Linked DNA regions of Solanum lycopersicum. The main gene of each other region encodes a partner of the protein of the gene in region 2 in a complex. Links are inferred from orthologs where the notes say so. Each region holds a gene or a part of one and is shown on either strand. Other genes may lie near its edges. The genes, in order: SNF1-related protein kinase regulatory subunit beta-3, SNF1-related protein kinase regulatory subunit gamma-1 and GAL83.

Region 1 (4,175 bases), on a different chromosome or scaffold from region 2:
ACTGATCCATCTTGACTTAATGATCAGCCGATGACCCCATTATGGCATATACCATACACAAAAAATGAGACGCTAAAAAGGGTAAATTTAAAAATAACAAGGCCTATATATAGATGGAACACGTACACAATTCCATACTCTTACCCCTACTTCCATAAATGCTTGCACTCCACACCACATTCCAACTGGTTACCTTAATAAAAAAATCCAAAACATGCAGCAATTCAAACTTCGTCAATATCGCATATATTCTCAGATTATTAAAATACAAGTGAAAGAATCTAGCTTGGGATTGAGTAGTAGTTGTTATATTGTTTAAACTGCCCCAAGAATACAGCCAAAGATAAGAGCAGGTCTTCGAATGTGACAACTCAACTAACAGTTTTTAATAACTGATGTCAAATAGTTAGAATTATCCATCCGCGAGTTTGTCCTAGCAAATTCAAAAGCCTTAGCTATTGGTTTAGCCTTTCCACTCCACCAATCCTCTCTTCTAACTCATTTCCATCAGCCAAAAGCAATTACAACTACGCTTCAATCCCAAACAAATTATGTCAGCTTACTCAAATTGCTAGTCACAAATCCAGATAAAGGAGGAGTTTGTGGTAGGTAGACCACCGTTTCAAAACTAGTTAATTTACAATGAAACAAAACACTGAACTATTCCACAAATTCTTCGTTTTGTTAATGTCGTTCCAAGAGCAAGGTTGCACAGAAGTCTAACTGAAAGTTGATAGATAATAGTTCTCATCAGTAGGAGGTTGTATGCATCGGCACCAACACACACATATATAATTAAATTTAACTAAAATGATTAATCTAACTTCAAAAGCTTCCTCGAGGACCAACTATGTTTATCTTAAATTCTTTTAAACATTGATGACAGCGGTGCTTATGATAATCACCACCAAATCCCTCTCTTAACTAATATTTGTAATCTACTATGCAAATTTTTAACTCCTTTCAACCTATTTCTATTGGGCTTCATCTTTAAGTATCCACACTTTTAAGCAAACATCCAGTATTGCACTCTTGTAAATACTCTTTTTATCTTTCCTGATAAGTAGTGCATTTTTCACTATCATACAAAGCAAGTGTACACTGTACACTCACAGCTCATTAGACGTGTATAGCTAATTTTACATGTAATTTAAGGGGAGAGCACAAACATGGAAACGCTGCTCAAATGCAGATGCTACGTAAACTGTTTCCTTCTCCATTAAGTGCTAATAATAACTTATCTACCATCCTAAACACCATGTGCTTTCCATGCTCAAGTGCAGATGCTACGTGAACTCTTTCCTTCCCTGTGATTAAGTGCAAAAAACTTATCTACCATGTAAATCACCAGGAGTTTTCCATGCTCAAGGGCAGATGATACGTAACTCTTTCCTTCTCCATGATTAAGTGCTAATAATTAATCTACGATGCAAAACACCACGTGGCTGCATGATTCAATTACATTTCTGTTTATCCCACTAGCTAATTGAGACACATTTATCGCTCCTAAAAGTTCTTCAAACAGGTGATTGACGAAGAACCAATAATTCCTACTTCTTCCAAGTGCAGGATAACTCCAGTAACACAAAACCCACCAAAAGTGGATAAAAGCTGCTTATCGGATACTACAGATTGTCAATTTGAAATTACAGATCTTTCTTGACCGAGGATTTTCTTTCTAAAATAAGAATCAACTACTTTGCCAACCTCTAAAAAATTTATTTAACATGTATCAATAATCTATCCAGAAGCAGCACCAACAACAACATACCCAGCATAATCCCACAAGTGGGGTTTAGGGAGGGTAGTGTGTATCCTAGTACCACGATCTACCTCCCCTCACCCAAAAAAGGAAACCCTAAATTGATCCAAAATCATTCACATGGGGAATCTACACAATCTGTACACATTGATCGCATGTGTGATTTTGATTCTACAATCATAAATTCGCAAACACAACAAGTAACTACAAAGACAAACATTCATAAACTAATCTAACGTCCACAAGCTACACTAACCTGATTCAACTTTTCTTTGGTTCTTCAATCACACACAAAGAATTCACCAGAATCAACAACCCATCTGCACAAAAAACAATGGAAACACAAGAAGTATCAAAACTTTAATCCATCAAACAAAAAAATCCAACCAGAACCACTAAACCTAAATCCCCAAATTGATCCACAAGACACAAAGCAGAAAAAAGATCAAGAATTCAGTAAAGATGATTTCTTTCAACACAAACTCTACAGAAACGGCAAAGCAGCACATAAAAATCAAAACTTTAACTCTACATAGACCAAAAAAAAATAACCCCAACAGCAAAAACAAAGAATTTCACCTGAAAAATGCCAGAAAAATCAAAACTTTATAAACAAAAATCAGATAAACCCAACAAGAACTACTAAACAAAAACACCCAAATTGATCCACAAGACACAGAGCAGAAAAAAAAAGATAAAGAATTTAGTAAAAATGATCTTTTTTATACACAAACTCTACAGAAACAGGCAAAGAAGCACATAAAAATCAAAACTTTAAGTTTACACAAAGCAAAAAAAAGTAATCCCAAGAACTAAAACCAATGAATTTCACCTGAAAATGCCAGAAAAACAAAAGGGGTTCTGAAACTCAAAAGCTAAAAAAAAAAAAAACCACACTCTTTACAGGTTATATAGAGTATCTCACCTAGAAGATTCCGCCTTGGAATCAAAAGAATCAAAATTACAAAATCACAAAAATTGTATTTTAGGAAAAAACATAATTCTCTAAAGAAATAAAACTTTTGCCAAAAAAAGAAAAATAGGAACATAAAGATTAAACAATTGGGCTTAAGCAAAAAGAGCAAATGGGCCAAGTTATAAAATATCCTAATTAAGAGCATGACAAATTAAGTAAATAAAGGAAATGAGAAAATTACGCGGATAAATATATATATATATATACTAGTTAATTAGCTATTATAGTTATAATTTAAATTAATTATAACTCGCAGACTCTGTTTTAGCTATAATTATGTGTGCCTCTCTCCTATCTTCCTCCCTCTTCTCTCTTCTCTCTTATATATATACAAATTATACATATACATATACAATAATATGATAGATATACAAATACAATTTGTTTTCTTTCATTCTTTGTCCTCTGTTTCTAGTCTCTCCTCTCTCTTCCAGTCTAACTTGTAAAGATATACAAATACATATGTATATCAGTTACATATATAATTATATAATCAATATACATGTATAAGTCAGCAAATATATAATTATAATCCACCTCTCTCTAATCTCTGCCCTCTTCGGCTCACCTCTCTCATCCCTCTCTTCGCTCGTTTCTCCGCCTCTAACATGTAGCTAAGAATCGTAATTAGCAAACGATAGCTATAAAGCCTAATGAAGTTGTTTTTACTGCTATTTGCAAAACTTTTCCTAAATGAAATGCTACAAAAGTTATGTACAATAGGATTAGTGTTGGAAAAGTGTGTATATATGGGGGTTGAAAATTCAATTCGTTTTTGTTCAAATTATTTTAACTCGTCCATACTCAACTCAAGCTATTCATTTACCGCCACAAAATATAATATTGAATTATGAAATAGCTTTGGACCATATATACTTATAAATCAAAACAAAAAGAAAGAATCATTTGAATATTGAACTTGAACTTTAAATTAACAAAGAAGAAAACTCACATTTACTTACTTTGTAATGACTTTAGAGGTGTCACTTTCAAAGTTAATTTTAATAAAGTCTAATTTTAGATAAACATATTTGAACGTTTTAAGAAAATATAATTTCAAATATAGTGTTTGAAATTCATCTTAACTTCAAATATCATTTGGCTTAAAGTTTTTCGAATTGAGTAGACTTGACAACTTTTACTCGTTCCTAATATGATTCAAATAGTGATTTCGAAATCAAGTATATGTGATTGCATAATATTACTTTTTTTCTTATTTATATCAAAGTTTTGACACAATTTTATATCAAAGATACAATTTAGACTGTTACTATTAAATACACATGGCCTTAATTAATACAAGCAATCAATGCAATAATGTGATTAATTAGTGAAATTTACACTATTGATTAATTTTTGATACGACATTACAGGATTTAGAACGCAAATAACAATTACATAGATAACTGATAGTACTATGATAACTTTTGGATACAT
Region 2 (4,032 bases):
AACACAAGCAATTTTAAACTTGAACATCTTTCTGCAAAATTGCAATCGAATGAACCCGAGAGATGATAGGATAACAAAATAATTTATATTCATAGATTGTGGAAAAGTTATTTCATAATCTGCAAAGAACAAACCACAAGCTCAACAGAAGAAGCAACAAAACTCAAAAGCTCATACCTGAATGATGCTACTTGGCTTCATTAAAGGAAGACCAAGTTCATACAATTTCTTAGAACCCCAGCTCTCGAACCAATGGAGACCAGCACATTCTTCTAGCATGTGTATAACAGCAGGTTGAGTTATGATGTTATCAATCTTATATTCCCCTAAATCAACCACAGGGACACTCTTCATCTTGTATTTAGATAACAAGAGAAGCATTGTCAGAAAGGAGTTCGATTTCTGCAAAGCCAGAAATGGAGCCCAGCGGAATGAACCTGAAATGTCCCGAACCTAAGTAATCACATGTTAGTCAGCACATTTGCCCAAATAGACTTGTAAAACGAAAATCAGTAGATGGTTATGGAAAAATAACTAGTTGACTATAGAGAATAACCTTTGTGTTCTTGTAGAGATCTGACGAAGTTAATGTCTCAAAAAAGTTACCAGAAGTTGCTGTTGGAGATTCAGGATGCAAACTTCTGAATCTCGGAGAAGCGACTCCATTAACAGCTGCAGCCAAAGCAGGGCTGAGAGTATCATCTGCTCCATTCATTACCGAATCAAAAGCAGAGGTGCCCTCCATCTTTTCCGACTGTGAAGTATGTCACAAACTGTTTTGAGCATCTTGATAAGAAAAGTATGTAAAACAAGAATACCAACGTCTTTGTAAGAGTAGACTTCTCTGATGGACACTCAACTAATAGTTATTATCTCATAAAGTCACTTTCTTTGAAGAAAATTGGAATAAGAAGAAATGTGACTTCCTAATATAATAACTATTAGTTGAGACCATCCAAGAAATCAACCAGTCATTGCAACAATTTACTAGACCTTGATCCATTTGAAAACTTGTTTTAACCTTTCTCAACTTTTAAAGGCAACACATGTTCATCAATTTCATAGTTGTGAATGAGATAAAACACATGAGATTGTCGGAGAATTGAGGAAAACACCAACCAACTTGTCCCAGAAAGAGACGTCACATGTTTAACTATGACTATGTATAGGTGCATACCTGATGGAGGATCCACACGACAATGCCGGCGAATTCCACTATGCCAATATATCTATCAATCCAAGTAGCATCTTCAGGGGCATCAACATCCACAACAGGTGCACTTAGTATTTTGTGCTGTGATAGTAACTTAACAGCTTCGGCCAAAGTTGCATCAGAATTTATCTCAATAACTGCAGAGAAGAATAACAATCATTGACATCAATCGGACAATGGTAGTACCAGAAGAGCAATTTTAACCATAATCACACTACAAAAAGAATGTCTGCTAAGCCAGCTTTTCACTTGCAGAGAATAAAGCACCCAAATGAAACGCCATGAGAAGGTTACCAACTTAGGCTGCTTACAAAGAATTTCAGTGTGTAGAAAATTTCTCTAGTTTTTAAGATTCAGTTTCTACTCAAATAGATTTCTGTTACTATCTATTGTCGCTTGGACTTTAATTATAGCACTCTTTTGGTGTAGTTATTGTTCCTTTTTCCAAAGTGTTATCATGTTTACTATAGTAATTTGCCATGATCCCTTCACTTCAGTTATTTCGTTTTTTGTTTGGCTGTAATATGCTTTGTCTTGAGCCAAGCGTCTATCAGAAACAACCTCGCGGTTACACCGTGTATGTTGTAGTTTCTACTCAAATAAACAATACTTAACCAACCAAAATGATCTACTAAACCTCCTTTCAACTTTTTTCTTGGATAAACGAACCATGGTATTCAGGTCAGCTTACAGACTACTTTTCCCGGGCATATGTTATCTCCCACCAGCACAAGGTGGTCGCGAGTAACTTTGTCCACCAACCCCACCACCACGCACACACAGACGCACGCAGGGGTGACATAAAAAGGCAACAAAAACAAATCATGATTCTTGACTCTGATAAAAGAATCTCCGGCTACCATCATTCTGATGATTTAATTAGTAAAACATCCAACAATTCCCTTCTTTTAATAAAACCTGATTAATCTAAACAAGCCACAAATCAAATAAGTTCCTACAACTAAGACTAATTAAAACATTAAATCCACCCCATCACCCAACGTAAAGATCATTTCTGTTATGTATTACAAATCAAACCCTTGACACCCTTTATTCAAGTGATCAAGAAAATCATTTTTTCCACACCAAATCAAGAATCTCTTATACAAAATACCAAAAAAACACCTAAAGATCATATCTTTGTGTGTTATTAATCACACCCACAAGCTAGAAATCAGAATTATCAACCTCTAATCAAACATAATTAATGTTTTTCTAACCTTGATTAGAAGGAGCAGGAGGGAAATCAGAAACAGGAATGTTTTCAAAACATGCGTTGAGCTTTTCAGTAGGACTAAGCTGTGGTTCTTGTATATCCCATAGATCTTCTACTTGCATACCAACTTTTGCTTCTGGGCTTCTTGGTGTTTGACATCCTTCCTCCATCACCATTTTTTTTTCTTCTCTGTGGTTATTACAGAGTGATTGACAAATAAATCAAGAATTTGTTGCTTTTTAAGAAAGTGTAGTGATCCAATAATTACACTAATATATTTGTCAATTATTCCGGTATTAGTACTACCAATAACAATTTCAGTAATCAAATAAAAAAAATTAACAAAAAGATACACGTAGATTATGATATGGTAGTCCCGATCAATATGTCCACCTGTACTGTTCGGTTCGCTTTTATTTGTCATATTATATTTTTTGAAAGTTAATTTAATTAATTTTTAAAATTAAATTTGATTATATTAAATTCAATTTAATAAAATAATATATTTTAAAATATTAATTAAAATTCTTATAATTTAATTATAAAAATAGAAATTATGACAAATGATAGCGGATAGAGAAAATAAAATTGTGCCATAAATATACTTTTATTTTATTTATATTTTATATCAAGTGAATTATTGAGATTTTTCATAACTCGAAATAAATAACATATTCAATTAGCTATATTATTTTTTTATATAAATCCTTTAATGAAATTTTTTAATTACTTTATATTTAAAAATAAATTTATAAATTAAAAAAAACAATTAAAAATAACTTATAATTAATAATGAACTTATGATAACGTTTTCTTTAACGAGTTATGATCAAGTTTGATCGGAAATAAAGGTTTAAATAATTGAAAAAACTTTACACTAGAAAAAGTGAAATATCTTATAAGTTCTTGTAATTATAAAAAGGTATTTATTATCAGTATAAATATAAAATAAGACTTGCTAATTGATATCATTTATATTTTAGTCAAGACTCATTTGGTAATTTATTTATTCGGAAAATTAATATATTAATTAATAATATTTTAGTTTTAGTGAGAAATGAAATAGATGTTTATTAGGAAGGAAGATATAGATGAGAAGTAGAACGGTAAAAGTGGATGATTGGGGTAGAGCTCTATTCTTATCCATTAAAAAAATGATTAATTAGTATTTGTTTGTTTCAGAATTTACTAAAAACCATTAAAATAAGCAAAGCCTAACACTTATCCGGTTTTGCAGAAGGGCCACTTTTTATAAACAAATAAATCAGGGGGCGTTACGTGGACAATGCAACGCTTTCATAATCAATTATGACACCTCATATGTATTTCTGAATTATATTTCAAAATTATCATAAATAATAGGGTAACTTTCACTATAGCAAATAAAAAATTTATATTTGTATGCTATAACAAACTTTGCATAATTGCGCTCCATAGCAAACATAAAACTGTATAATTTGCTATACATATACAATTGTATAATTCGCTGGTCTAAATTGTATAACTCGCTGGCCTATTTCACTATGTCATAAATAATACATATAAATGCTATATGTCATAAAAATTAATGTTTCTGTCGTTTAAAAATTAAAGCATATATGTT
Region 3 (4,098 bases), on a different chromosome or scaffold from region 2:
TGAAGGACGTGTTATGAGCCAAACACATTATCAGGGAACAGCAAGTATATAGACTATAAAACACATGTTTATGCATTAATGTGCTGAAGTTATCAAAGATGCCTCCGCTGTGATAATGTATCAAAATGATCAGGAAACAGAACTCTCACTTACATTAACATCAAGAAGATTAAAGACAACGCCTGTCTCATCTGCTACACATGGAAGTTCTGGAATATATCTAACTTCCCCATCCACAATGAATTTGTAATGATATATACCCGATGGAAGGACCAAAAGAACGGTATAGTCCTTGCCTGATCTTTGGAGAATTTTCCTGCAAGCAAATATCATTAGTGGATACATTCAGAAACTCCATTAACAGGAATGATCACAGGCTAGTACTTGGTTGAATCAGAGTATACCTTGATGTCCAGTTGTCCCAAGATCCTTGGATAGCAACGTTATTACCACCATAACTCCATGTTATCAAAGTAGGTATGCCGCCCTCTAGTGAATGATCAGAGGCATCCTCGCATTCATTGCCCCACATTTGATTGCTAACAGGATTGCCATCCCCTCCTTGTAAAGGAACTACTGGCACCTGAAAGGATGATAAAGAGGAGTTTAGTCTCGAAACTAGTCAGTCGTAAGTATTTATGAGGTACGATTGGGGTGCCCAAGAAGCAATTAACTGCTCTGGTCTATCTCCAAGTTAACTAAAAATAAGAGGTGCTTGCTTGGGTAATTGCCAACCTCAGAGGGACATTATTCCCTTCTGTCCACTTTGAAAAGCCTAAATTTTGAGTGATAGTGCTGACTACAAAACATGAAGAATATTCATCATATATAAGGTGGAAAAAAAATCAGCCAAAGTGAATAAGAGTGAATTATTCAGAGCTGAAAAACTGTCACTTGACTACAGATTGACTAAGGTTTCACCAGTCCTACTAAGATTACAGCATAACATTTCTGCACCCGCCACCTGCTCCCGGATGCACTAGGTTCTTATACAGAAACATTATAGCTTGCTTGACTGGCATAAGTTCCTTTTGTTTTTTCATGTACCTTGCTAATATAAATTAGTTGTCTGTTTTACCCAACAAATAGACAGGCCATGAGATGCTTTCCCTTTTCCCATTTAACAGAGGGCTAGGCCAACACTCAGGCAAGCCCTATAATGCAAGCTTCCAACTAAACAGAAAGAAGAGTTCATTCAGCATTTTCCTGAAGGAAATTCACATAGGAATAGCATGAAAACCTAATAGAAGTGGAATGAAAATAGAGGATTCATATTACCGATCTGGGATCAGGATGTTGTAATGGTTGTTCCTATAGGTGTTTCAATTTAGTGTCAAGCAGAACACTTCATCGCTACTACATTGGGAAAACACAACAAATCACAGTTAAGCATATAATGAACAGCACTACAATCAATTTGCAACTCTCCCCTATAGATGCAGACACATCACCGCAACTCAAAGGCATACAGACAGGCAGTATAACATGCAGAGTAATTGCATAGGGTGTGGGTGTATCCACCACCTTAGCTGACCATCATACGATTAAACCATTTAAAAATGATTACTTCTTCCATCCTAATATGTTTGGCACATTTTCTAAAGAAGAGTCAACGAGACCAACTTTTGCAGTAAATCAGGCTAGATCAACTCATTTTTTGTAATTAAAATTTAGACATTTGGAAACAAAACAGAAAGTACTATAAGTTGTGATTCTCATCATATCAATATGGTAAGAAGTGCACTTAAATAAAAAGAAATCATAGATGTTTTGAAGGGCAAATGATTCATCTTTTCTCAAGTATATACCCCATGGCGAGCAAACTTTATATGTGGAAAAGACAGAACACTGTAAATGGCACAGACCCTACACTGCATTCGCTCATCATTTGCTAGATTACTTAAATACTTAAATGGAGACAAGTCCATTCTTTTGTGTTTTCTGGTACTTGTAAAGATATGATACTTAGTTTAAATCAACCCAAAAAACCTAGCTCACCCAAGTCCATATAAGCAGACCATCCGTTCATTATACAACCAAAGTGGAACTCTAACCACCCCTTCACGAACAGGTCCAACTGTAGTGTGGGCAAGGAGCTTGAATGCGCATGGATCCAACTCTATACCATGTAAAGTTATGACATTTGAGTATAACTCAACCCCCAAAACTAGCTCACTAAGAGAGGATTGCTCAAATTCATATAAACAAAGCCAATACCCAGCTCGGATACCAAGTAAAATATACGATACTAATGCCTAATTCATCCCAAAAAGCTAGCTCATTAAGCATTGCCAGTCCCTCCCCTCTCCAACTAACATAGGACTCTAACAGTACACTAATATTGATCAAAACCCTGTCCTTCCTTTAAAAAATACATTTTTAAGACAAAATTCTTAGTTTGAATCTCCAAAAAGGTAAAAAAAGTTTACATATTGAACAAATGAACTATATCTAAAGCTCAAATTAGACCTCATTTGAGCTCTACTCCACACCAAATCCTAAATCCCCTTTGAATCACCAACACCACAAACAAACACATACACATATACTATTTCATATGTATATATAATAAATAGGATAAAATGAGCATAAAAATGGAAACCTGAGGTCCGAACAAGAGAGGTGAAGCTGAACGATGTGGACTCTGCGGAGGAGAATTGACCATCAAGTCAGCCGAAGGCACTCGCGAGTTCAGAGCGTGGTGATCTTCTACTATTCCAGATTCAACATTAGATCTTCTTCCCGATACCTGACCGTCGCCGTCGCCGTCTCCGGCGGCGCCGTCTTCTCTGGCGTTCGCATTCCCCATGTCTTCCCAATAATGCTAGTGAATATACATATGTATATTTTGTATGTATATGTAGAGAGAGAAAGTAATAAGAGTCACGTTCTCGTGTTTATATATATACAGTAAAAGATAAGGCACACTATTGAACTTATTTACAATAATGCCCTCAGTTGACTTTTTTCTTCCTTCTACTTTCGCTTAAAAACACCTCGACTAATCTATAAAATAATACAAAAAATGCAATGAAATATATGTCAATCTTATTCTTATTTCTTAAGAAATAAAAATGAATTGTTTCAAAAAGACTCTTCATTGGAGGGCAGATAATTTACAAAATAATGCAACAAATATATTGAAATATACGTAAATCTTATTTTTACTTATTACGAAATAAAAAAAATATTTTAAATACTCTTGATCGAAGAGCGAGTGGAAAAGGGTAGAAATGGAAAGTGAAAAAATATAAAAGGAAAACTTAGAGGATAAATATTGATGACATGGAGAGATCAAAATGGTTGATAAAGGATAAGTACAAAATGGAAGGTGTAGATTTACTAAATTTTATAAATGTGCATATATTATCTTCTTTAGGTGTGTGCCCACGTTGCTTTGGGAGCACAATGATAGTGATAGCCTCCAAGTATTATTATTATCAACAATTAATAATAAAGAAAATAGGACAAAATTATTTTTTTGAACTTTTAATATCATCAAATGAAAAAGAAAAGTTAATGTGGAGAATAAAATATGAAATTCCGATTTGACTATATATTAATAATTTATTCAATGTGATTTCATGAGTTGAGTAAAAAGAATATAGACTGTATGCAAACGTTACGCTCATCTAGTAGAAATAAAGACCATAGATCTTGGGTGACAACAACTGTATATCAGCCAAAATTTGTGATATACATGCTAAAGATACATGACACCAGGTTGAACAATGGGGCCTTAAGAGAACAATTTTCTATTTTTTTGGCATATCATAAGTTCAACAAAACTCTACTTCAGAAGTAGAAAAAACCATGACTACAAGAAAGCATTGCTAACCAACAAGATTTATGGTCTATTACTGTTTTGAGTTGGTAGCATTTCTAACAGAGTTCCAAATTTGGACAACCGATTCTGCAACACGAGGGAGCACTTGAAGAAGGCCACCAGAGGCCATCCCGATGGCGAGGGTTTGAGGGTAGCCTGGCTTGGAATCAACTTTCATGTCAAGGCTGAGCAGTCGAGCATTGATAACATCGAGTTTTCTAGAGGTTTCAGATGACACATTCCTATTATTATTGCGATTCTTGTCATTTCGA

What was found.
Region 1: SNF1-related protein kinase regulatory subunit gamma-1 (region 2) and SNF1-related protein kinase regulatory subunit beta-3 share a complex: the UniProt entries of both Arabidopsis thaliana proteins name them as parts of the probable heterotrimeric complex. The link is inferred for Solanum lycopersicum from reciprocal best matches to the Arabidopsis thaliana genes KING1 and AT2G28060.
Region 3: SNF1-related protein kinase regulatory subunit gamma-1 (region 2) and GAL83 share a complex: the UniProt entries of both Arabidopsis thaliana proteins name them as parts of the probable heterotrimeric complex. The link is inferred for Solanum lycopersicum from reciprocal best matches to the Arabidopsis thaliana genes KING1 and AKINBETA1.

The regions. Positions count from the first base shown.
Region 1 is NC_090810.1:59,798,341-59,802,515, forward strand, and holds the start of SNF1-related protein kinase regulatory subunit beta-3, read right to left. Parts: upstream 2,828-4,175; 5' UTR 2,688-2,827; exon of another isoform or gene 2,595-2,687; intron 2,362-2,594; exon of another isoform or gene 2,346-2,361; intron 2,086-2,345; exon of another isoform or gene 2,083-2,085; 5' UTR 2,019-2,082; intron 194-2,018; 5' UTR 181-193; coding exon 127-180; intron 1-126. UniProt on the Arabidopsis thaliana protein: Regulatory subunit of the probable trimeric SNF1-related protein kinase (SnRK) complex, which may play a role in a signal transduction cascade regulating gene expression and carbohydrate metabolism in higher plants.
Region 2 is NC_090802.1:58,706,548-58,710,579, reverse strand, and holds the start of SNF1-related protein kinase regulatory subunit gamma-1, read right to left. Parts: upstream 2,821-4,032; 5' UTR 2,606-2,820; coding exon 2,434-2,605; intron 1,351-2,433; coding exon 1,178-1,350; intron 755-1,177; coding exon 557-754; intron 454-556; coding exon 178-453; intron 1-177. UniProt on the Arabidopsis thaliana protein: Regulatory subunit of the probable trimeric SNF1-related protein kinase (SnRK) complex, which may play a role in a signal transduction cascade regulating gene expression and carbohydrate metabolism in higher plants.
Region 3 is NC_090811.1:69,120,215-69,124,312, reverse strand, and holds the start of GAL83 (SNF1 kinase complex anchoring protein), read right to left. Parts: upstream 2,830-4,098; 5' UTR 2,810-2,829; coding exon 2,603-2,809; intron 584-2,602; coding exon 405-583; intron 317-404; coding exon 154-316; intron 1-153. Other genes in the region: uncharacterized protein, read right to left, coding at 3,858-4,098. UniProt on the Arabidopsis thaliana protein: Regulatory subunit of the probable trimeric SNF1-related protein kinase (SnRK) complex, which may play a role in a signal transduction cascade regulating gene expression and carbohydrate metabolism in higher plants.